Linked DNA regions of Xenopus tropicalis. The protein of the gene in region 1 interacts with the protein of each later gene in a pairwise test. Links are inferred from orthologs where the notes say so. Each region holds a gene or a part of one and is shown on either strand. Other genes may lie near its edges.

Region 1 (3,500 bases):
ATACACCAGTGCAGTTAATGATAGCTACTAATTAGGCATATGTTTTTATTTAACTACTGCTTGTTAGAAAATGAATGCAAAGATCTCATCGGCTGCTATGGGAAACTGCACTAGTAAATTAGCCTCAAAAACTAATTTAGGAGGGGAAGTGTGATATGATATGCTTTTCTTAATACTATAATATTCATTTCAAGTGGTCCCAACTTCTTTAAAAACCATCTGTTCACAGTTTACCTTGGAACGGCAAAAGACAGCTGAGAAGGAAAGGCTCTTTCTGGTGTATGCCAAGCAATGGTGGAGAGAATATTTGCAAATTCGCCCTTCACATAACTCCAGGCTTGTAAAGATTTTTGCACAGGTTTATAGTGAACTTTTAATTAAATGCAGTGTTAATAACTGTCCATGTGATTTGTAACAGTATAATATTGTTTTATAGCAGACAAAACAATACAGTATCATTATTGTCCATTTATGGTCCAGAATTCAAGATCTGAAACTATAGACACATGAAAAGCTAAAACTAAACAATTTGAGCAGTAAAAAACAATTTGAAAGGAAATATACGTGTTTATTTTATAGAACAAAGGATTGCATGCACCCCTACTATTTCAGTAAATGGTGCCGATGCTTTCCTTAGTGAAGGGTAGTAAATTACTTCTAAATTACTATATATTTGTAATTTTGCCCTTTTGGTTTTTTAGGATGAAAACTGGGTAAATAGGCCAGTGTGTTCATACATTCGTCCCCTGAGAGCAGGTCGTTTACTGGATACCCCTCGACAAGCAGCACGCTTTGTTAATGTCCTGGGGTATGAAAGAGCCCCAACTGTTGGTGGGGGTGGCAAACAGGAACAGTGGTGCACCCTTTTAGCATTCCTTTGCAGAAATAAGGTATGAGATTAAATAGTTTTGATTTCATAGTTAACCATATGCTGTTTAAAGTAACTCTGCTTTTGCCTGAATAATGCAAAACTGTGTGTGTACTTAGCAGAGGAAAGATGTAGAAACTTGGCTCATGTAAAAAAAAAAAACACAGAATACAAGCATTGCAGTGTGTGCTACAAATACAAACAAGTGAGTGAGCAGCTACTTGTCAATTGTATAAAGATTAAGCTTCATCACACTCAGGATAATGAATTTGATAAAGAATTTGCAATTGGTTCCCCTCTGCAACACATCACTTACTAGACACACACCACCTGCTATCTCTTTATCAACATTCCACACTGCCATGAGGCTCCATAAATTGTGCTCTTTGTAAACAGCATGCCTCCACTTGCTCTGGTGGTATAATGCACTTTTTTGGGCCAATAATGACAATACTCCTGAGGGGTCATTTTACTTACTGCAAGTGCAGCATACTAAGGGGCCCATTTACTTACTCACGAACCGGCCGAATGCGTCCGATTGCGTTTTTTTTCGTAATGATAGGTATTTGGTGATTTTTTCGGAAAATTGTCGCGACTTTTTCGTTACTGATACGATTTGCGCGAAAAAACGCAAGTTTTTCGTAGGCGTTAAGATGCGCTCGTATTTTGTCACGACTTTTTCGTAGCCTTCGTGCCGAGTACGAAAGATTCGGATTCATTCAAGCTTCAGTATGGTGACTTTACTTGGGCCAGGTTGGAGCTGCAGGGTGCCATTGAGTCCTATGGGAGGCTTCCAAAATCATGCTAAGTCTGAAAGTTTTGCCCGCCGCTTACGAGAGCTCAATACGAAAAAGTCGCGACAAGATACGAGTGCATCGTAATGGCTACGAAAAACTTGCGTTTTTTCGCGCAAATCGTATTGGTAACGAAAAAGTCGCGACAATTTCCGAAAAAGTAGTAAAGGCGCCAAAAAAAATCGCAAAAAATACGAAAAAATCGCAAAATGTTCATTTTCCAAACGTATTTTTCCAATTCGGATTCGAATTCGCGTCTTAGTAAATGTGCCCCTAAGTGTGATTTTGGACACAATAGCTATTGTTTTACCCACAATTCAGCATTTTTCCTCATAATTCCAGCATAATTGGGTTTGCGAGTGGATGATGTGCCCAATTGCAGCTGATGTGTTGATATGAGGGTGCCTGTGCTTTGATAAAATGTGCTTCTGATCCGTTAAGAGCAAGTGCAGGCCTCTTTGGGAACCTTTTGGATGTGACAGTCGCTTCAGGGTTCATTTGTGTCTATAGATTTACATGTGCAGAATTTGTAAAAGCAGGTGGGATAACTAAATCGAAACGGAAAGAGTGACTTTGAACACAACCATAACCACAACTACATTTTACATTGTAAATTTGATATGTGATATGACTGTTCTGCTTTGACAGGATAGAAATAACATGATTTATTTATAACAGCAGTGTATTATTATCTGTTTAAACAATATTTTGTTGCCTTTTCCTCCTAGGGGGACTGTGAGGACCATTGCAATCTTCTTTGCAGTCTTCTTCTTGGCTTTGGATTAGATGCCTATGTGTGTGTGGGTACCAAAGGAAGAGGACAGGCACATACATGGGTGATGACTTGTGGAACTGATGGTGCCATTACATTTTGGGAGAGCTTGACTGGGCACAGGTTTGTCTGGAAAATTGTGCACCGGCTTATCATGCAAAACACTGTGTGATGATGACAGTTCCACCAGTATTAGCTCAGTAGATACAGTACATTTATGTTGCCTTGCAAAAGTATTTAGAGTTGATTTTTGCTTTCATTCATTTTACTTACTATAAATCTATGCTGTAATTGTATTCTCTGTCATTTTGGATAACAAAAATCATTTTCATACTATCATTTTGTATAGCAATTAACAGAATTGTTAACAGAATTGGTTCAGATTTGTCTTTTTAGTGAATTGTTAAAATAACTGCTACATTTAAGAAATCATTTTTTAGATAATTTTTTTTGTGCATATGAAGGACTGCTCTAAAATTAAGATTAAAGAGCATTCCAAAGAAATTTAAGGTAAAGCAATACAAATGCCTAAAGTGGAAAAGGGGTAAAAAACAGTATCCAGGCTCTAGTGGACACTGTTGGTACAGTAAACAGAAAGCTATGTTTCGAGAAATGTTCGTGCACATGTTTCTGGACAAAGAAGATGTAGGTTTGCCAACAGGAACTATAGAATTTAGTAGCTGTAACTGGAGTAAAAGTGATGGTAAAAATCTCAATCCAACTCAGTCTAATTAAAAATCTATAGCACTGTTTAAAAACGAAGATGCTTCTAGGAGAAGGAAAGGTAAAAACAACGTAAGCTTTATCGGAAAGGTCTATGTAAATACATCGCAGAAAAGCTACACTTCCTTTGTGTAAACATGTTCTTCGGTATCAGACTTCCTCTCTCAGAAAAATCCTTCATTCCCAGGCCTGAGTCTGCACAGCTCTCTCCTCTCTCCCTTCTCCTGCACCCCCCCCCCCCATAAGATTTCACTCCCCTCCCATTAGAATGTGTGATCTGAGTTACCAGCAGCTAGAGCTTCAGCAGGGAAGCTGCGAAGACCAAGCTAAAATGGCAGCTGCT
Region 2 (3,595 bases), on another chromosome or scaffold:
TAAGTAGCCAATTATAGCTCTTATTGGCACCGCAGGAACATTTTTCATGCTTGTGTTGCTCCCCAACACTTTTTCCATTTAAATGTGGCTCACAGGTATAAAAGGTTGGGGATCCCTGGTTTAGGGGTATTTATCAGGGACATAAAAGAGCACCTTAATGTACAATATATTGTATACTATTTATAAACAGGATTTACTTTTCATTTAATGCCCCTTATATAAACAACCACCAATGTGCTCTTTTCTTTTAAACCATATGTTTGCTCCTTTGGCCACAGCAAATATACTAAATTGGCAATTCCTCAGCAGTGGACCTTGAAATTATGGCCACTAGGAGTACAGGCCTAAGGTGGCATCTGCCAACACAAGCAATATGGAATTTCTCACTTATGTGTAAAACTGGAAATATGCTGAACTGGAATGTTCTCTGCACACAACAAATATAAATACACTCCTTAGCACTGTTTAAGGGAAAAGAGTAGTTACACACAAATTCAGGTATAAGGTTTAAGATTTCTATTACCCAAATTCTATTTCATACATGTATTAGGAAAAGGGAAAAAAGTTTATTCTGATATTCAGACCTACCTCGCCTAATCACCACCAAATTAAACAGAAAAAGCTGATAGACCCGTGATTCTAAACTCTAGTATATCCAAAGTTATCAATACACATTAGGACATAATTATGAAACCTTGGGAATGGTGCAAAGTGCATGTTGTGCACTACCTGACACTGGATTTTTAATCTAGTGCAAAATGGAGAGCACAGCCTATAAAGACCATTGCCCCAAATACAAGTGCCACGTGCATTAGTCCTAAGTATTGCACGTAAATACAAAGAGATACTACAGTGATGTATAAGAGGTGTAGCAGATTTATTTATAACTGAGACAGGGTCCTATACTGCATAGTTCTTCTGGTAACCACAATCTGTTGATAATTAGGATCCCAGCGTTCCTTTAAACATCTGGTGGCCTTCCTCAAATTTCTATCTATGTGGATATAATTAATGCTGCTTTTTAAAGAAACTTACATCTGATCTGAAACAGTCGCTCTGTAATGGGCAAAGTTCTATCAAAGATGTGCGCGGTTATAAGATCAAGGCAACAGCTTTTGGTTTTTTTCCAGAACCATCGTGATTGCAAGATGTCCATATTTGAGAAGGAAAACTTCCTGGGAAGGAAAGGAGAGATAAGTGATGACTATCCCTCTCTGCAAGCTATGGGATGGTGCAACAATGAAGTAGGCTCATTCCGTGTTCATTCTGGCGCGTAAGTCATTGGGCATACCTTGCCTATTGCACTTTATTAAACAACCAGTGCATTATTCTACATATGTATGAAGAAAAAAATAGCCACAATGTTTTAATATTTACCTAATTTAATGAAAAAGATGTTATTTAGCTTTGCTCTTATTATCTCTTCTCATTGGTTGTTGCTGGAAAGACCTAATTGCTCCCCTACTTGATCTGTGCATTTAAGCAACAACCAAAACACCTAATCTGTGTGTGAACAGGCCAATTTGGCACAATGGAGCATATTTACTAAAGGGAAAAATATAACACACGACAATCTGCCAGAAGGAAATGTCATAGCTCTCTACTCACTTTTAAAGGGCTTTCAGATGATTTATTGCATTAAAAAAATCATATATGGTTACAGGCTATACTTCTTCTTGTATATATATATATTACAAAGATATAAAATCACTTTAATTAATATTTATAAATATTCAAAAGAATCTGTCAGTGTGGAGGAACTTATACTTTAACTTTAGAAATGTAGCTTTACTGAGTGAGGGTTTGTTAGAGATAATCATCAGTAACTTCCCGTGGTCAGATATCCTGTTGCAAGGCAAAAACCACAAAGCACTAACTAGATAGATGAGATTAATCCACTTGTCTAGTAATGCAATAGCACAAGGCTGTTTCTTCTCTGAATCATGATTTATAGTAGAATCCTAAACTGTGATTTCTTACATGCAAACGGCAAGCATAAGGCAAATAAATATTATTATTCCAGAATGCAATGTACCAACAACTCCCATGATTCACAGTTCTCCTTATTTACAGAAAAATGTGTGTAGTCCCTGACACTGTGGGTGGAGCACCCCTACAAAAAGTCAAAGTTTCCATTTCAGTCCTAATGTGGCCACACACATGGCGATTTTAGATCTTTCGTGCGACCATCGGTCGCACAAAAAATCGTACAATCTGCCACTAACCGTGCAGGATTGAAACAGCAGATAAGGAGGTAGAAACAATAGGATTTCTACCTCCTTCTGCCGATTCAGCCCTGACGGCAGATTTTGCTCAGGCGCCTTCTATGGCGCCCGATCAAAATCTTTTAACCGGCCCGATTGGCGAGTCGACCGATATCAGCAGCCTCCTGCGATATCGGTCGACTCACCGACTTGCCATACACGCACCGAATATCGTATGAAACGAGGTTTCGTACGATATTATCGGTGCGTGTATGGCCAGCTCTACAGCCACCCACATTTTCTATATAATATCAGTCTGTTATCTGTTACATGTATTTTCTGAGGCTGGTCTGGACACTTGCTCATAATGGAGTTTGTAGAGTCAGTTATCTGTATACTTGGGGTTGGAGTTTAGGGACATACTATATAGGCATTTGTTTTCACTGAAATGTGTTACAAATATTTGTTGATAATGTGTGTACTTATTTCTACTGTAAAACCAAACAGCATTGCTAAAGTATACATAATATGTATTTTAGTTATGCCTAATTATTTTCTTTTTTTTGCTTTTGCTAGTATATACATGACTAGTATATAACATGATTAAATGTCCTTATACATCCTCTTACCAAATGTATATAGCTACCAATTGTTACAAATATTTGAATCCCTCTACAGCTGGGTGTGCTACCAGTATCCTGGTTACCGCGGATTTCAGTACATCATGGAATGTGACCGCCACTCTGGAGAATACAAGCACTGGAGAGAATGGGGATCCCATGCACAAACCTTCCAGATTCAGTCCATCCGCAGAATTCAGCAGTAAAGAAAATATCACATCCATACACATTCTTGTATTTTAACCTGAAACAAATAAAGCATAAAAAGATATGGCATGTTTTTTATCAGTATATTGTTATGGCATGTAATGGTTGTTGTTGGTGCACCTCACCAAGATGTCAGGCTTCCCTGAGGTGGTGTGTCTGCAGGGTAATATAACACCAGGTTCCAGTCTTCTGTTGTATATGCAGTTTTCCTCTGCAAAAGTAGCGGCAGGAAATATGAGGAACCTTCAAAGAAAGCTTTCCATTGTGGACATGGTTATTGCTGGAAATAGAATACTTTTTTTGCACACAGTTACAATTACCATGAAGCACCTGGTGCTCACCACACCCAAAAACCCCTCTAAGGTGAAATCTACTAACACAAAAGATAGTGGAACACAGATTTCTCTTGATTGGCAAAATAGAGCCCTGGCTAAGAGACAGGAAAACACACAGCATGGTTCCCTTGCATTCAATTTATAAAATATGTTTGGCCCACCTATAGGAACCTGGTGCTTCCTTTCTTTTTTTGTAATTGCTGGAAATATGGCACTCCTGTATGACAGA
Region 3 (4,012 bases), about 50 Mb from region 1:
GAAATGACCTACAGAACCTCCTGGCTTTTCTAATTCATCTCTGGGTTTTTTTTAACCTATTATAAATCACTATATGTTAAAATTGAAAATGCTGCCAGTGACCCTGGGCAACTAGAAAGACTTATCCTGAAACTTTTTATTTTTGGAAATACTATTTTTTTTATCAGTTGTCTTTTTCGTCAGACCGTCTTTTCTTCATCTTTCCGGGCTCCATTCAAACCACTGGGTAAGTGAGACTTTAACTGGTTTCACAAATCAAGAACATGAAAGATTCTTTGGATCTTAGGTGCAGCACTGCTACAACCTCTTATATTTGACTGATTGTTAAGTTGTCTGTGCACCGGTAGGTATTGGCTGACAACTTTGGCTAGCTATGGGCCCAGAATGATAGACCTTATACCCACATGTCTGATAAGGGACTTGTCAGATATTAATTACATCTGGTTGTTGATGTGTGCATCCCTCCACGTGATGTATTTACTGCCAGAGGACTGAACAGTTTGACCGGCCAGGAACTTGGATCTCCAAATCAGGCAAAGATCTGGTGGCCTGGTCCAAAGAGCAGCTCTACTTGTGTATGGCTTGCTTTACCCTAATAAAGAAACATAATTAGTCACAAAAGATTCCAGTGTAAGGCATCTTTTAAACCTAAATGTCCTTCTGTCGTAGACAAATTTTTAGCTAATCTATAAATATGTACAGGTAAAATTATGATTCTATTTATTGTCATCTAAATCTGTAGTAAATTAACTTCTCTGGGATTGTTTATCTTGTAAACCTGTTATATGTTGTTTTGTTTTAATGGGAAACTAGCCAAGTTCTTTTTGGACCTTCAAACATAAATGAAAAGGCAGAAGTGCAGCAACTGACCGACTGTTCAAATACAAAACATATTTTCACATGGGTTAGTTTGGTAACTTTTGCAATTCAGAAAGGTTGCAATTGATAAGTAAGTGAATATAATTGAATATCAAAAGTGTCAGATTCATTGAGTCTAGATCTTTAGGTTTGTTTGGGCAAATTTGCCTGGGGTAGAATCCCATAGCAACCAGTCAGTGATTAGATTTGTTCAGCCAGCTGCTAGCAAAAATGTATTTTCCGTGTGTAAATGCCCATGTGCAAAATTAGCCAGTGTGTATTTATGCTGCATTTTCAGAACTTGTTTGTAATCTTTCTGGGACATAAATTTCAGTAAATCTTTTTTTTATTCAGTTTCTTGTAGCCATGAGTAAAAGAAATAAAGTATCCTATGTGAAGCCTGTTGAGCCCTCCTTTATTTCCAAGTTCAAGAAAGATGTTGGCTACAAAGAGGGACCCACAGTGGACACAAAGGTGCGTGCTCTACACAGATAGCTGACAACATTTTCATATTGTGAAATGTGTATTTATTTTGATTAACAAAAATTCTTCTTTTGTTTGCTGGGACAAATGGATTGATTTTTTTTTTTTTTTTATTGCATCAGCCCTTATAGAAAACTGCAGTGATGAACAACCATCCCTGCTGGCAACCACTTTCTACTTTTAGGCAATGACACAAGGAGCTACTTGTAGTGGCTACAAAATTGTCAATAATGATAGTTGTATCTACATGTGTTTTAGCAGAGACAATTTTGTAGCTGCAACAAGCCCTTAGACTGATGTCCCACGCAGAGATTAACCAAGTTCTGTCGGGGCTAGGAGTGCATCAGCACGTTGATGTGGTCCTCTTCCTGTTGCCTCTGTCCCAGCAAAGTGACCTCAAGGTGGGCATATTGGGAAAAGATCCACTCGTTTGATGACCTCGCCAAATGAACAGATCTTTGTGTGTATGGCTAGTTTAAAGGACATGTAAACCCCACACACAAAATGTAATCAGTGAACAGCCTCTTTGAAATCTTTCAATACCTGCCACAATGGTTGTCCAGAGGTTAATAGTAAGGCTGCAGTGTCCCCTTTATCACTTAGATTTGCTTCTCCTCCTGTAACCCACTTGGCCCCCTCCCTTTAGGAATTTGCTTTGGCTGTTGGCTTGTGGGCATGCTCAGTTGTTCTAAGCTCAGATTACCAAACACGCCTCCAGTCTAGCAGCCAGTGAAGAGATGGCATTGCTGGTTCCCATAGAAACTCAGCTCTAGCTGTCTGCTTCAATTTTTTTCTTCCAACCAACTCTTCTGAGCTCAGCTCAAACAAAGCAGAACTTTTATCAGAGACATTTGTGCCTGTGTGAGCCTGTATTCTTGGTGAAATGTATGCTGAATAAGGGTCTGTGTATGCTGTTTGCAAATTTAAATGTATCTGATTATGTATCAGAGGAAAAATGGCCACCAGGTGAAAGCTGCTATTTGCTTTATGAAAATGTGATGGTGCTAGCAAACGGAGGGGATATATACAGTACACATGATGCCATTTGGGTGGGGGAGATGTGCCTAACTGATATACATTGTAAGCAAATGTAGGCTTTACATGTCCTTTAAGTCTTTGCCAGCATAAGTCTTCTTTTGTTCTAAGCACTGTTATGAACAAAGTATTTACAAGCCTAGTTGTCAAGCAGCGATTGTGATGACACCATACCATGCCCATCTGAGTATCAGACAACATCCTCTCGTAGGTTATTACGATGATATGAGTTAAGAGGAGTTGTAAGATAGGAGTTGGGCCCAGCCTGCTAGTAAGACATTGACTGCTCAGGTAAGGCTTAAACTGCATACTGAGACACTAACAAACTTATAAAAGCTTGGTGAAATAAAGTTAATGGAAAGTATACAGAGAAAATTAAAAATCATATACTCACAGATTAATCAGGGCAATATTCAAACCCAAATGATATAGCCATATTTAGCCATATTTATTTAGCCACATTTTAAGTCCATTTCCTGCAGAGTTTTTTAGAATGATGACAACTTATTTAAATTAATTTTTCTCTTGATCTAACTGCGCTGCAGAGACAGGAACTTCCCGTACTTGCAGATGACAGTGATGGGAGTGATAAAGAAGATGAACAGCCTCAGGTGGTGGTCCTGAGAAAAGGTGACCTCTCAGCAGAGGAGGTTATGAAAATTAAAGAACAAATCAAAGAAAACTCAAAAGGTCTGTGTATCTGATCTTTCTAAAAACAAAATTCTGATCGCATGTTTAGTGATTAGCCCTTAACAGATTGATTTGCTAAAATAGGTGTGGTAGAACTTTGACCTTTAAACACATGACCATCGGGTTGGAACACTGATTTCCAGCCAGGTCTGATCATTCAACATCTTTTCCCTCCTTTGCAAACATGGAAAGCCTTCCCAGAAATGATATCTATTCAAAGAAGGACCAACCTTTTTAAAAATACCTTGGATTCAGACTGAGATGAAGGAGAGGTTTCTGGACACTTTTAGCCATATAGTATATAAGTAAGTGTATATGTGTAAGTCCATGAGGATAAATATTTAAACCCCACATTCCCTAAGAGATTCAATAACTCATAACTCATAACTATAAAATACCCTACATCATAGGATGCACACTGAGAGCAAAGTCTTGCTGTTCTAGAATTCCTTGTAAGTATTCTTGTTTCTTATTACATATTGGCCTCTGCTGCTGTAGACTTCTCTCAGCTGAATGCATGTAAAAAGGTTCTTTAAATAAAACCCTTTCTATCCATGTTTCAGTTGAGAAATAATGTATGCAGTGACCTTCTTTAGTTCTGTCATCCAGGTATTTTGACGACCTTTGTTTGTATTAAAACTTTGTACCAGAGTAAGAAAATGCATTATACAATGATGAATCAATTTCTGAACACAGTCCTAATAAGAAATGCCAGCCTTCTAATCTTCCATGTGTTATGCACTGGTTGAATCTGTGACTTTAATTGCACTGATTATATTAACACAGTTAACAGAGCAGTTCTGTTTGGCTGTATTTCTTCCTACCCATGCTTATGCATGATGGTTACTTATATAATATAAATTATGTTGTTTACCTATCAGCACATGCTTGTCATTAACAATTACAGTTGGCACATTGAAAAGAGGGCTACCAATATGAGGAATGA
Region 4 (3,500 bases), on another chromosome or scaffold:
ACGTTTAAATGCAATGATCTGAAACTAACGGAATACTCTAACCTGTCCCATCGGCTAAATAACCCTTTGCCATGGTATAAAAAATTATTGTACTGTACTTGATCCCAACTAAGATATAATTACCCCTTATTGGGGCAGAACAGCCCTATTGGGTTTATTTCATGGTTAAATGATTCCCTTTTCTCTGTAATAATAAAACAGTACCTGTACTTGATCCCAACTAAGATATAATTACCCCTTATTGGAGCCAAAACAATCCTTTTGGGTTTAATTATTGCTTAAATAATTTTATAAGCACACTTAAGGTAGGGGATCCGAAAACACCAGGTCCCAAGCATTCTGGATATTGGGTCCCATACCTGTACAATCAATATCCGTTCACTGGAAGAAGACTAAAATCTTCTGTGTATGGCCATCCTAACTACGCCGTGTACAGATCAGGTTAGGGAACAGCTTTCAATCATTAGAACACATTTTTATGCTTCTAGCGCCCCCTAGTGGGTAAGTATATTTTTACTGAGAATCACCTGGCAGAGAAGAGAATTAAAAACCAAAAACGGCATTCCTGGAAGATCCCATCCTCTATTTTTCAACTAGAGGGACTGATGTTCAAAGTTGCATTTAGTAATACATTCAGATCTATAACGTCAGCCAATTAGCACCCCCTGCTAATGAGAAACGTGCAGAACGGGTGATACTGCCGGCTGCCTGTGTCTATGGATATTGTACCTTTATCAGAGTATTCATGTTCCAGGGCGTGCAGGTCGGGCAGCACGTGCATACAGTTAATGCAGCAGTATGTAAAGAAGTCCAGCACCACTACTTTCCCGCGCAAGTCTTTGTGTAGAGATAATGGGCCTTCTGTGTTCAGCCATTCTAGCTCTGAAAGGTAAAGGAAAAATTAATGTTTAAATATAATCTCATGATATGTAAAAGGATCTTATTATGGGATGACTTCAAACTCCATCTGAAAAGATCCAGCGCGGTCTATCGGACTTGTTACTACTCACAATGGAAATGAGTTGGGTAGGGATGAAATCTCTTTAGTCTATTACAACCATAATGGTGAAGTTTCCCTTTAATATTAACATTTGGTACTATATAGATGGACCTACAGCAGGCTCTCATTTGCTCTTAATTATATTTATTAATTTCCTACAGTTTCTGATTGGCCGCCCTACTGTGCTTCTTTCCAAACTGCAAATGAAAGCAGATTTCCCATGAGGTTTCAGTGTTATTTTTTGTTTATATTTCTACTCTGTCCCTGTACTGTTCCTCTCCCATACACACATCCATTCTGGTGATCGGTTGCTATGGTAAATTAGCTCCAAGTAACAACAGTCTAGTTTAATTCCATGCTGGCGTGCTGATTTTACACAGTGACCGTGCTTGCTACAACATACAGTAGGTGCATAATTGTTTTTAAACCAAGTTGCCAGGTTGATTCCCAAACTTAATTGGGGGCCTAAGAAAAAAAAATGTTAAGAAATGGTGTTGCAAACAGAGTGAAAAGAGCAGTTTTCCAATGAAGGTGTCCTGTATGAAACTCTGCCTTTATCAGCTCTAATGGTATTAGTAAGCCCAGTTAGTAGTTGCTATGGATAACAGGAGTGGCCACCTTACTACAGAGCCTGTACTAGACTGCACAACCATTAAAGGGGAACCAAAGCTTGGCTAAAGAAGTAGGGCTAGAGATGTTGTAGATTATGTTTTAGGTTTCAGCCCAAGGCAAGCACAGCCCTTTAGCTCCCAAAGATGCCCCCAGTAGCCCCCCATCTTCTTTTCTGCTAATTTCGATGCTCTGGGCTGCTGTCAGTTACTGAGTTTAGGGACCAATGCACACTATACTGTATATATAGAATATAAATGGCACACTATACTGTATATATAGAATATAAATGGCACACTATACTGTATATATAGAATATAAATGGCACACTATACTGTATATATAGAATATAAATGGCACACTATACTGTATATATAGAATATAAATGGCACACTATACTGTATATATAGAATATAAATGGCACACTATACTGTATATATAGAATATAAATGGCACACTATACTGTATATATAGAATATAAATGGCACACTATACTGTATATATAGAATATAAATGGCACACTATACTGTATACAGTGGTGTGAAAAACTATTTGCCCCCTTCCTGATTTCTTATTCTTTTGCATGTTTGTCACACTTAAATGTTTCTGCTCATCAAAAACCGTTAACTATTAGTCAAAGATAACATAATTGAACACAAAATGCAGTTTTTAAATGAAGGTTTACGTTATTAAGGGAGAAAAAAAACTCCAAATCTACATGGCCCTGTGTGAAAAAGTGATTGCCCCCCTTGTTAAAAAATAACTTAACTGTGGTTTATCAATTTCAATTTTCAATTTCAATATCAATTTCTGTAGTCACCCCCAGGCTTGATTACTGCCACACCTGTTTCAATCAAGAAATCACTTAAATAGGAGCTACCTGACACAGAGAAGTAGACCAAAAGCACCTCAAAAGCTACACATCATGCCAAGATCCAAAGAAATTCAGGAACAAATGAGAACAAAAGTAATTGAGATCTATCAGTCTGGTAAAGGTTATAAAGCCATTTCTAAAGCTTTGGGACTCCAGCGAACCACAGTGAGAGCCATTATCCACAAATGGCAAAAACATGGAACAGTGGTGAACCTTCCCAGGAGTGGCCGGCCGACCAAAATAACCCCAAGAGCGCAGAGACAACTCATCCGAGAGGCCACAAAAGACCCCAGGACAACATCTAAAGAACTGCAGGCCTCACTTGCCTCAATTAAGGTCAGTGTTCACGACTCCACCATAAGAGAGAGACTGGGCAAAAACGGCCTGCATGGCAGATTTCCAAGGCGCAAACCACTTTTAAGCAAAAGAACATTAAGGCTCGTCTCAATTTTGCTAAAAAACATCTCAATGATTGCCAAGACTTTTGGGAAAATATCTTGTGGACCGACGAGACAAAAGTTGAACTTTTTGGAAGGTGCGTGTCCCGTTACATCTGGCGTAAAAGTAACACAGCATTTCAGAAAAAGAACATCATACCAACAGTAAAATATGGTGGTGGTAGTGTGATGGTCTGGGGTTGTTTTGCTGCTTCAGGACCTGGAAGGCTTGCTGTGATAGATGGAACCATGAATTCTACTGTCTACCAAAAATCCTGAAGGAGAATGTCCGACCATCTGTTTGTCAACTCAAGCTGAAGCGATCTTGGGTGCTGCAGCAGGACAATGACCCAAAACACACCAGCAAATCCACCTCTGAATGGCTGAAGAAAAACAAAATGAAGACTTTGGAGTGGCCTAGTCAAAGTCCTGACCTGAATCCTATTGAGATGTTGTGGCATGACCTTAAAAAGGCGGTTCATGCTAGAAAACCCTCAAATAAAGCTGAATTACAACAATTCTGCAAAGATGAGTGGGCCAAAATTCCTCCAGAGCGCTGTAAAAGACTTGTTGCAAGTTA
Region 5 (4,006 bases), on another chromosome or scaffold:
CTACAACTGGTGTGTTTGCCTCAGAAAGACTACTATGGTTTATATAAGTAAACTGCTGTGTAGCCATGGGGGCAGCCATTCAAGCTGGAAAAAATAAGAAAAGGCACAGGTTACTTAGCAGATAACAGATAAACCCCCATTATATGGGGCTTATCTACTAGTTATCTGCTATGTAACCTGTGCCTTTTCTTATTTTTTCCAGCTTGAATGGCTGCCCCCATGGCTACACAGCAGCTTATTTATATAGTAGCTTTTCTGTAGCAAAAACACCAGTTTTTTGCAGAGCAACAGCACATTATATTTTAATTACTTTAAAACACTTTAATTTTTTGACGTTACTGTTCCTTTAAAGGAGACATATTGGATAAATGGGAAAAACCTTGCAGTCACACAAGCAAAGACAGACTTCAGTTCCCTATCAGGTCAGCCTATCTGCTGATTGGTTCCTATCCTACAGTGCAGTGTACCCAGAGCCAGCAGGAAGTAGAACAGATGGGGGGGACTACCGGGGTTTTAGGGGAATTTCTCAATAAATCAGTCTGAAACACAACTTTTTTTTAAGCACAATCCTTCTATACCTAAAAGAGTATAATTCACTGGTACATTCATTTTTATATACCTCTCCTTTAATAGGTTTAAAAGTACGTAGAACATAAAGATAAAATAAATTGTACCCATTTCATGGTCCTCCCCCAAATTAGCCCTTGTTTGCACAAAAATACTGCGGCCCGCTTAATACAAAAAAAAAATCCCTAAAGTGATGACCTAATTTCATCTGACCCATGTTAGAGCAAAATCTCTTTCCTTTTTTGGTCAAATTGGGACAAGCGGATCCGACAGCGGAAGGTGCTATTCGCAACCAATAAAAAAAGTCTTCTGTTCGTTTCCTGGCAAAAGAAGAAAATCTGAGCAAAAATGATAAAGTGCTGCGTATGAAATACTGGAAGCCGACGTGGAGGCCATGGCAACCAATAAGAAAGAAAATTCTTATCTTTTTTTTTGTTCTCTAACAAAAGTAGGTGGTGTGTTGAGTATAGCAAAAACAAACTGTGAGCGGACCTACTGCACCATAGCCGCTTCTAATTGCGTAACACTAAATTACGTCGTATCCCCATGTTACTCCCATTAGACGGCTACGTGTTACGTCACTGCGCTTTGCGTCCGGACGTCATTACGCAATCTCGCGTGATGAGGCGTCGGGATTTTCTCTAAGTCAGGAAGGAGGCCAGAATCTTGCAGTTAAAATCTTTGCGGGAATTGTAAGTAGCGATCTGATACTGCGGGCTGTGATAGGAAAATGGGGAGAGTCTGTGTTGTATGCACTTACTCGTTTAGCCGGCCCCTCCCTGCTGTCGGTGAGCTGCAGACCTTAGAAGGAAGGGCGGGAGCTAAGGTGCCTGCGTTTTGTTTCCCCATATACAGCTTTCTGTACTGCTTGTTTTGTCACAAGTTTTAGTCCCTGTGAAGCTGCACAGTGATTAGATAGGGTACAGGTTGGAGTGTGAACTCTCCCTAGCCCATCTTTTCCTTATCATGCCCTACTTGGACTAAAACTTCTGTGACAAAGGGAGCAGTAGAGAAAGATGTGTAGAGAAAAGAACATGCAGGCACTGAAGCTCCCTCCCTTCTGAAGTCTGCAGCTCACTGACAGCATTGGGCCCCGTTATCAAAATAAGTGCAGCACAACAGGGCCTCCCTTAAGACCAAAACAGTACAACAATGTACATATTGCTTTATAAAGGTCTATGTTACACTCATTGCCATAATCCTTTATTTTTTAGTATCAAAGAAGAAGCAGGACATAAAGCACTCCGGACTGCCAGGGTCTGCTAAAACATGATCTTTATTTCTTCACATTAAAAACAGGTGCCTGACGCGTTTCGTGCGTTAGTGCACTTATTCGTTGGCCTATGAATAAGTGCACTAAACGCGTCAGGCACCTGTTTTTAATGTGAAGAAATAAAGATCATGTTTTAGCAGACCCTGGCAGTCCGGAGTGCTTTACGTCCTGCTTCTTCTTTGATGATACCTTCAGCTACGGGTTCGGGGCTTTGAGCACCCGGACCATCTTTGGACATCGGTGAGCACACTGTTTTCCCCACTCATATGAAAATTGAATAAGGAATAGGAGCCTTTCTGGTTTCAAGTGTTAGGCTCGGGGTTTTGACACCCAAGCCTCCTTAGCACAAGGGGTATTTATCCTGTTCATTTTTGAATATATGATTTTTACATTTCCTTAATTTTCTAATTTTTAATGTCCTTTACTTTGAAAACCAGTTTGGTTATATATCACTTAGTTGGGAGAAATTGAGTGTCTTTTTGCCTGTTGGGTGCTTTTTTCCTTTTGATTCTATAAAGGAGTAATTGCTCAGCTTGATGTTTTGGTCTGGAGTTTTATTTTATTTCTATGGGGCACTGGAGAAAATGAATGCAGGGGTTCAAGGGATTGCCTTATTTCCTGCACTATTATTGAAATAAATTATACAATCCCAGAGCCAATTAATGACAAGTGAAATACTAGTGATCCCATGAGGATTTTGAGACTGATACCAACATCAGAGGTTTATTGTAGATAGAGAAACATATATTATGGTAAGATAAGAAAAGAAATGTGTTACTTTTAGATTTGTTTTCTTTTGTGTAAACTTGTAAGCCCTCAGTTTTGTTTTAATAGTGCTTTTGAAGGGTAGGGGGTTGAAGTTGCCTTATTCTAAGTGTACTTTATAGCTGTATATTAAAGGAGAAGGAAAGTCAAAATCTATTAAGCACACTATTAAATAGTACTACTATTGCTGTGTAAAAACGCTATATTCCTGGCCGCCTAATGAAAGATTTACATAGATACACATACTAGAACTTACATACTTGTTTCAGTGAACAGCGCCACCATCTTGTCCAGCATGTCTGTATGGGCTGAAAAGCACAAGCCAGCTCCCCGCTCCTGTCACAAAGATTCTGCAGCTCCCCGCTCCTGCCACAAACCCCCCCAAGCTCCACAAACCCCCCCGCTCTTGCCACAAACCCTCCGCCGCTCGCAGCACCTGTCCCCCGCTTCCCCCACCTGCTTGTCACAGAGTTCGGCGACGCTGCGTTGCCATGGCAACCGGACGCTCCTGCCCTGTGCGCATGCGCCGCCTGCAGTAACAAGTCGCCAAGTCTTGAAGGAGCGATGCATTATGGGAATCTTCTCTACCCAGCTCAGCATTTTTTTTTCCTGTTTGGCTTCTGATCTTCTGAACGGGTGAAGTATGGGGAGATTTAAGGGCACTATTGAGACAACTGAAGGTATGCCTGCAGCTTGGGATTAACTCTTTATTAGCCTTTCCTTCTCCTTTAAGCATGGGTAGGTTTCTTGGCTTTTAGGGACAAATAATATTTATGTCAAAGTGGTTGTGATGCAGAGATGCTGCAACTTGAGCAGAGGTCCCTAACCTTTTTTTTTTTTTTACTTGCGAGCAACATTTAAATAAAAAAAATGTTGGGGAGCAACACAAGCATGAAAAAGGTTCCTAGGGGGTGCCCAGAAAGGGCTGTGATTGGTTATTTGGTAGCCCAATGTGGACTGGCAGACCACAGGAGGCTCTGTCTGGCAGTACATATGGTTTTATGCCTCCAAAATGTGCCACCAAGCCAGAAATTCAAAAATGAGCAACTGCTTTGAGGCCACCGGGAGCAACATGTTGCTCACAAGTCACTGTTTGGGGATCACTGATCTTGAGTATGCTGATGGATTATGACCTGCCACACCCAGAGTGGAGACAGTTTCTTTCTGTTTGTACACAATTCCCTAAGTGTATATTGCTTTATATCATACACTTTATTTTTAAAATATATATTCGTCAGCATGTTACAATTTTGTGTTTGCAGGAATTTCCACATTCCTTTTCACAAAAGCCCCTCTTGCTGGATATTTGCTATTCTTCCAATGATGTCAGGCCAGGAACTGGCTGAAGTGGTTCAAATTGCAGTGGAAGATTTACATCCAGGCCATCATCCAGGTCAGTAC
Region 6 (3,500 bases), on another chromosome or scaffold:
GTATAATGTCTGGGGTTAACACAGACAGCAATGTTCCATGAGACGCCCCTGCAAGGTGGCAGCCAAAGAGAGCCATGGGACATTGCGTCAGTCTACCCCCATAAACAGCTTCTTTGACAATAGTTTGTCCTCTCATCCAATAACACAGGTGACAGCTTGGTGTCTCTGCCCTCTGCAGGGTACATCCCCAGCTATCTGGACAAAGACGAGCCGTGTGTGGTGTGCAGTGATAAGGCCACGGGGTACCACTACCGCTGTATCACTTGCGAGGGGTGTAAGGTGTGTATGCTGAAGATAAATTCATAATATACAATATATTCTCTGATCTGTATAATATCAATATACTAATACTGAATATCTGCACTCTGTCAGTCTCTGAGCATATATCCAGGTCAGCATCTTCATACACAGAAACTTTTTGAATAAGGGGTGAGCTCTAGGGTCAATTATAATCAACCTGTACTGCCCCCACCTTAACTGGTTAGGATGTAAAGATGGAGGCCCAAGCATAGGGCTATTCAGCCTCTAATTCATACAGATACAGGCAATATAAGTATTAGGTATAGGAACAAACCCATATCGATAACACAAGGTATAGGAACTAGTTACTACAGATATAGACAAGCCCTAGGTTTATGAACTTATGTGGATAAAGGCAATATAAACCCATGGTATAGGAACCAATCCATATAGATATAAACAATACAATCCCTTGGTATAGAACAGGGGTGGGCAAACTACGGCCCGTTGGTCTTTTTAATCCGGCCCACCGACTCTGATCATGTGAGACTTGGACTGACGAGTGGAGACGGCGCAACGCTGGCCCGTCTGTCAAATTTTAAAAGTCAATGTGGCCTCTGAGCCAAAAAGTTTGCCCACCACTGGTATATAAACAAATCCATACAGATATAAGCAATACAAGCCTTAGGTATAGGAACTAGCTAGTACAACCATAGGCAATACAAGCCTTAGGTATAGGAACTAGCTAGTACAACCATAGGCAATACAAGCCTTAGGTATAGGAACTAGTTAGCACAAACATAGGCAATACAAGCCTTAGATATGGGAACTAGTTAGGACAAACATAGGCAATACAAGCCTTCGATATAAGAACTAATCCATACAGATATAAGCAAGACAAGCCTTAGGTATAGGAACTAGTTAGTCTAACCGTAGGCAATACAAGCCTTAGGTATAGGAACTAGTTAGGACAAACATAGGCAATACAAGCCTTAGGTATAGGAACTAGTTAGCACAAACATAGGCAATACAAGCCTTCGATATAAGAACTAATCCATACAGATATAAGCAAGACAAGCCTTAGGTATAGGAACTAGTTAGTCTAACCGTAGGCAATACAAGCCTTAGGTATAGGAACTAGTTAGGACAAACATAGGCAATACAAGCCTTAGGTATAGGAACTAGTTAGCACAAACATAGGCAATACAAGCCTTAGGTATAGGAACTAGTTTGCACAAACATAGGCAATACAAGCCTTCGATATAAGAACTAATCCATACAGATATAAGCAAGACAAGCCTTAGGTATAGGAACTAGTTAGTCTAACCGTAGCCAATACAAGCCTTAGGTATAGGAACTAGTTAGGACAAACATAGGCAATACAAGCCTTAGATATAGGAACTAGTTAGGACAAACATAGGCAATACAAGCCTTAGATATAAGAACTAATCCATACAGATATAAGCAAGACAAGCCCTAGGTATATGAACTAATTCATACAGATATATGTAATACAGTGCCTAGATATAGTCACTTATCCATAGAGATATATGCACAAAAATGCCTATGTATAGATACTAATCCATACATATACAGGCACTAATAGTCCTGTCAATAGAAATCATAAATATAGATGCAGACCTATGTATAGACACTAACCATTATATATGGTATATTTGCCAATTGGCACTTGCATTAGGGGCAGGAAATATTAATCATTTTATTGTGTAATGGTTTAGGGCAGGGCTAGAATATAAGACATTTGTGTGTCTAGAATGGGTGGGAAGTATTTGGATGGCCTATTTCCTAAAGGCGAAGGAGCTTCCTTTTGCATAATGGGAATAGGGCTGTACGTAGCTTAAATATTGGCACCGGAAAGAAGGACAAAGTTTTTTTAGTTGTAAATAAAAGAATGTTTATAGGAGGGATGTTTTCCAAAGGAGAGAAAAGGAGTTTGGAACTGATTTGGATGGGGTGTGGGTTATGTATGGGCATGGATTTAACTAGGGCATAGGAATGTAGACTTTATTCCAAAAGTACTAAAAGCAGAAAACAAATTGGCCGTTATGCTTAAACCCATGCCCTGAATCATTTGGAACAAACAACTTTTAGACAAATTGACCCAGTTGGAAATGTATCCATTATTTATACCAGTATTTCGTATAATGCTGTTGCTGCCTGTTTTGCTCGGCCATAAAGCAGATCATACAGTGAAGAGTAGATTACAGGCTTAATCACTTTGCCATCTCTATTAGCACTGTCATTGGTTTTATATCGCAGTTTTTTATTATGCTTTTTGCCCTCGTCTATGCAGGGTTTCTTCCGTCGCACCATCCAGAAGAACCTGCACCCCTCCTATTCATGCAAGTACGATGGCTGCTGCATTATCGACAAGATCACCCGAAACCAGTGCCAGCTCTGCCGCTTCAAGAAATGCATTGCCGTTGGCATGGCAATGGATCGTAAGTGGGGGTAAAACTGTTCCGGGGTTTATTAAAGGGGAACTGCACCCAAACACACAAGCTTTTTGAAAAGGAAACATAATTTCAAGCAACTTTGCAATATACATCAGTTGAAAAATATGCAGCCTTTTCATGATATTTAATGTAATAATCTGGTTTGGAACAGTTCCCTAAGCCCCGCCCCCTGTTCCCCTGCTGATCTGGCTGACTACTTTGTCACTCAAATAAAATGTAACAGTAGTCGCCTGTCCCTCAGCCTGCCATCAGCCTGCCTCCTCCCAATCCCACAATTCCCTGCTGCACACGTGATGTCAATAAGGAAAGGAACATCCCAGTGCAATGCATTGTGGGTTATGTAGTTCCTGCATGCTGTCTCTAAACTGTGGAGAAGTTGTTACAATCTGTAACATCAGTGTTTTAGTCCCTCCTCCCTTGCCAGGATTTCAAATGATGCAGAAAGAGAAGAGCTGTTTTGCAGCTGGATTTCAGCATATAAAAATGGTATTTATTCCTACTGTTTGAAGGAACAGATTACAGGGATAGGGATATTAGGGGTTTCTGTGATGTGTGGGGCTCTTTAACAAATTTTGGTTCAGAAGCAAGAGTTCCCCTTTAAAAGTGGGCAGAGGGCACCATCAGTAATCTAATAAAATGCCAGGTAGACAGTGCAAAGAGGTATATTGCTGTACTCAGAAAGATTTTGTGCAACTCTCAGGATGGTTTTATATTATAGCACAATTTATTCCCCAAACCGTGAATCCCAAAGCTGAGAAAGGTAATGCTACTCAAATAAACCAG

What was found.
Region 2: the proteins of cep76 (region 1) and cryba4 interact in binary tests that used the Homo sapiens proteins (3 or more experiments, as listed by UniProt). The two-hybrid records come from large-scale screens. The link is inferred for Xenopus tropicalis from reciprocal best matches to the Homo sapiens genes CEP76 and CRYBA4.
Region 3: the proteins of cep76 (region 1) and kiaa1143 interact in binary tests that used the Homo sapiens proteins (3 or more experiments, as listed by UniProt). The two-hybrid records come from large-scale screens. The link is inferred for Xenopus tropicalis from reciprocal best matches to the Homo sapiens genes CEP76 and KIAA1143.
Region 4: the proteins of cep76 (region 1) and nhlrc2 interact in binary tests that used the Homo sapiens proteins (3 or more experiments, as listed by UniProt). The two-hybrid records come from large-scale screens. The link is inferred for Xenopus tropicalis from reciprocal best matches to the Homo sapiens genes CEP76 and NHLRC2.
Region 5: the proteins of cep76 (region 1) and banp interact in binary tests that used the Homo sapiens proteins (3 or more experiments, as listed by UniProt). The two-hybrid records come from large-scale screens. The link is inferred for Xenopus tropicalis from reciprocal best matches to the Homo sapiens genes CEP76 and BANP.
Region 6: the proteins of cep76 (region 1) and thra interact in binary tests that used the Homo sapiens proteins (3 or more experiments, as listed by UniProt). The two-hybrid records come from large-scale screens. The link is inferred for Xenopus tropicalis from reciprocal best matches to the Homo sapiens genes CEP76 and THRA.

The regions. Positions count from the first base shown.
Region 1 is NC_030682.2:103,539,828-103,543,327, forward strand, and holds part of cep76 (centrosomal protein of 76 kDa), read left to right. Parts: intron 1-229; coding exon 230-358; intron 359-701; coding exon 702-890; intron 891-2,390; coding exon 2,391-2,557; intron 2,558-3,500. UniProt on the Homo sapiens protein: Centrosomal protein involved in regulation of centriole duplication. Required to limit centriole duplication to once per cell cycle by preventing centriole reduplication.
Region 2 is NC_030677.2:148,837,033-148,840,627, forward strand, and holds the end of cryba4 (beta-crystallin A4), read left to right. Parts: intron 1-1,130; coding exon 1,131-1,273; intron 1,274-2,882; coding exon 2,883-3,030; 3' UTR 3,031-3,095; downstream 3,096-3,595. UniProt on the Homo sapiens protein: Crystallins are the dominant structural components of the vertebrate eye lens.
Region 3 is NC_030682.2:53,067,087-53,071,098, forward strand, and holds the start of kiaa1143 (uncharacterized protein KIAA1143 homolog), read left to right. Parts: upstream 1-1,212; 5' UTR 1,213-1,224; coding exon 1,225-1,332; intron 1,333-2,921; coding exon 2,922-3,066; intron 3,067-4,012.
Region 4 is NC_030683.2:3,790,158-3,793,657, reverse strand, and holds part of nhlrc2 (NHL repeat-containing protein 2), read right to left. Parts: intron 883-3,500; coding exon 730-882; intron 1-729. UniProt on the Homo sapiens protein: Required for normal embryonic development.
Region 5 is NC_030680.2:65,815,889-65,819,894, forward strand, and holds the start of banp (protein BANP), read left to right. Parts: upstream 1-1,206; 5' UTR 1,207-1,259; intron 1,260-3,867; 5' UTR 3,868-3,925; coding exon 3,926-3,998; intron 3,999-4,006. UniProt on the Homo sapiens protein: Controls V(D)J recombination during T-cell development by repressing T-cell receptor (TCR) beta enhancer function. Binds to scaffold/matrix attachment region beta (S/MARbeta), an ATC-rich DNA sequence located upstream of the TCR beta enhancer.
Region 6 is NC_030686.2:9,075,652-9,079,151, reverse strand, and holds part of thra (thyroid hormone receptor alpha), read left to right. Parts: intron 1-148; coding exon 149-279; intron 280-2,554; coding exon 2,555-2,702; intron 2,703-3,500.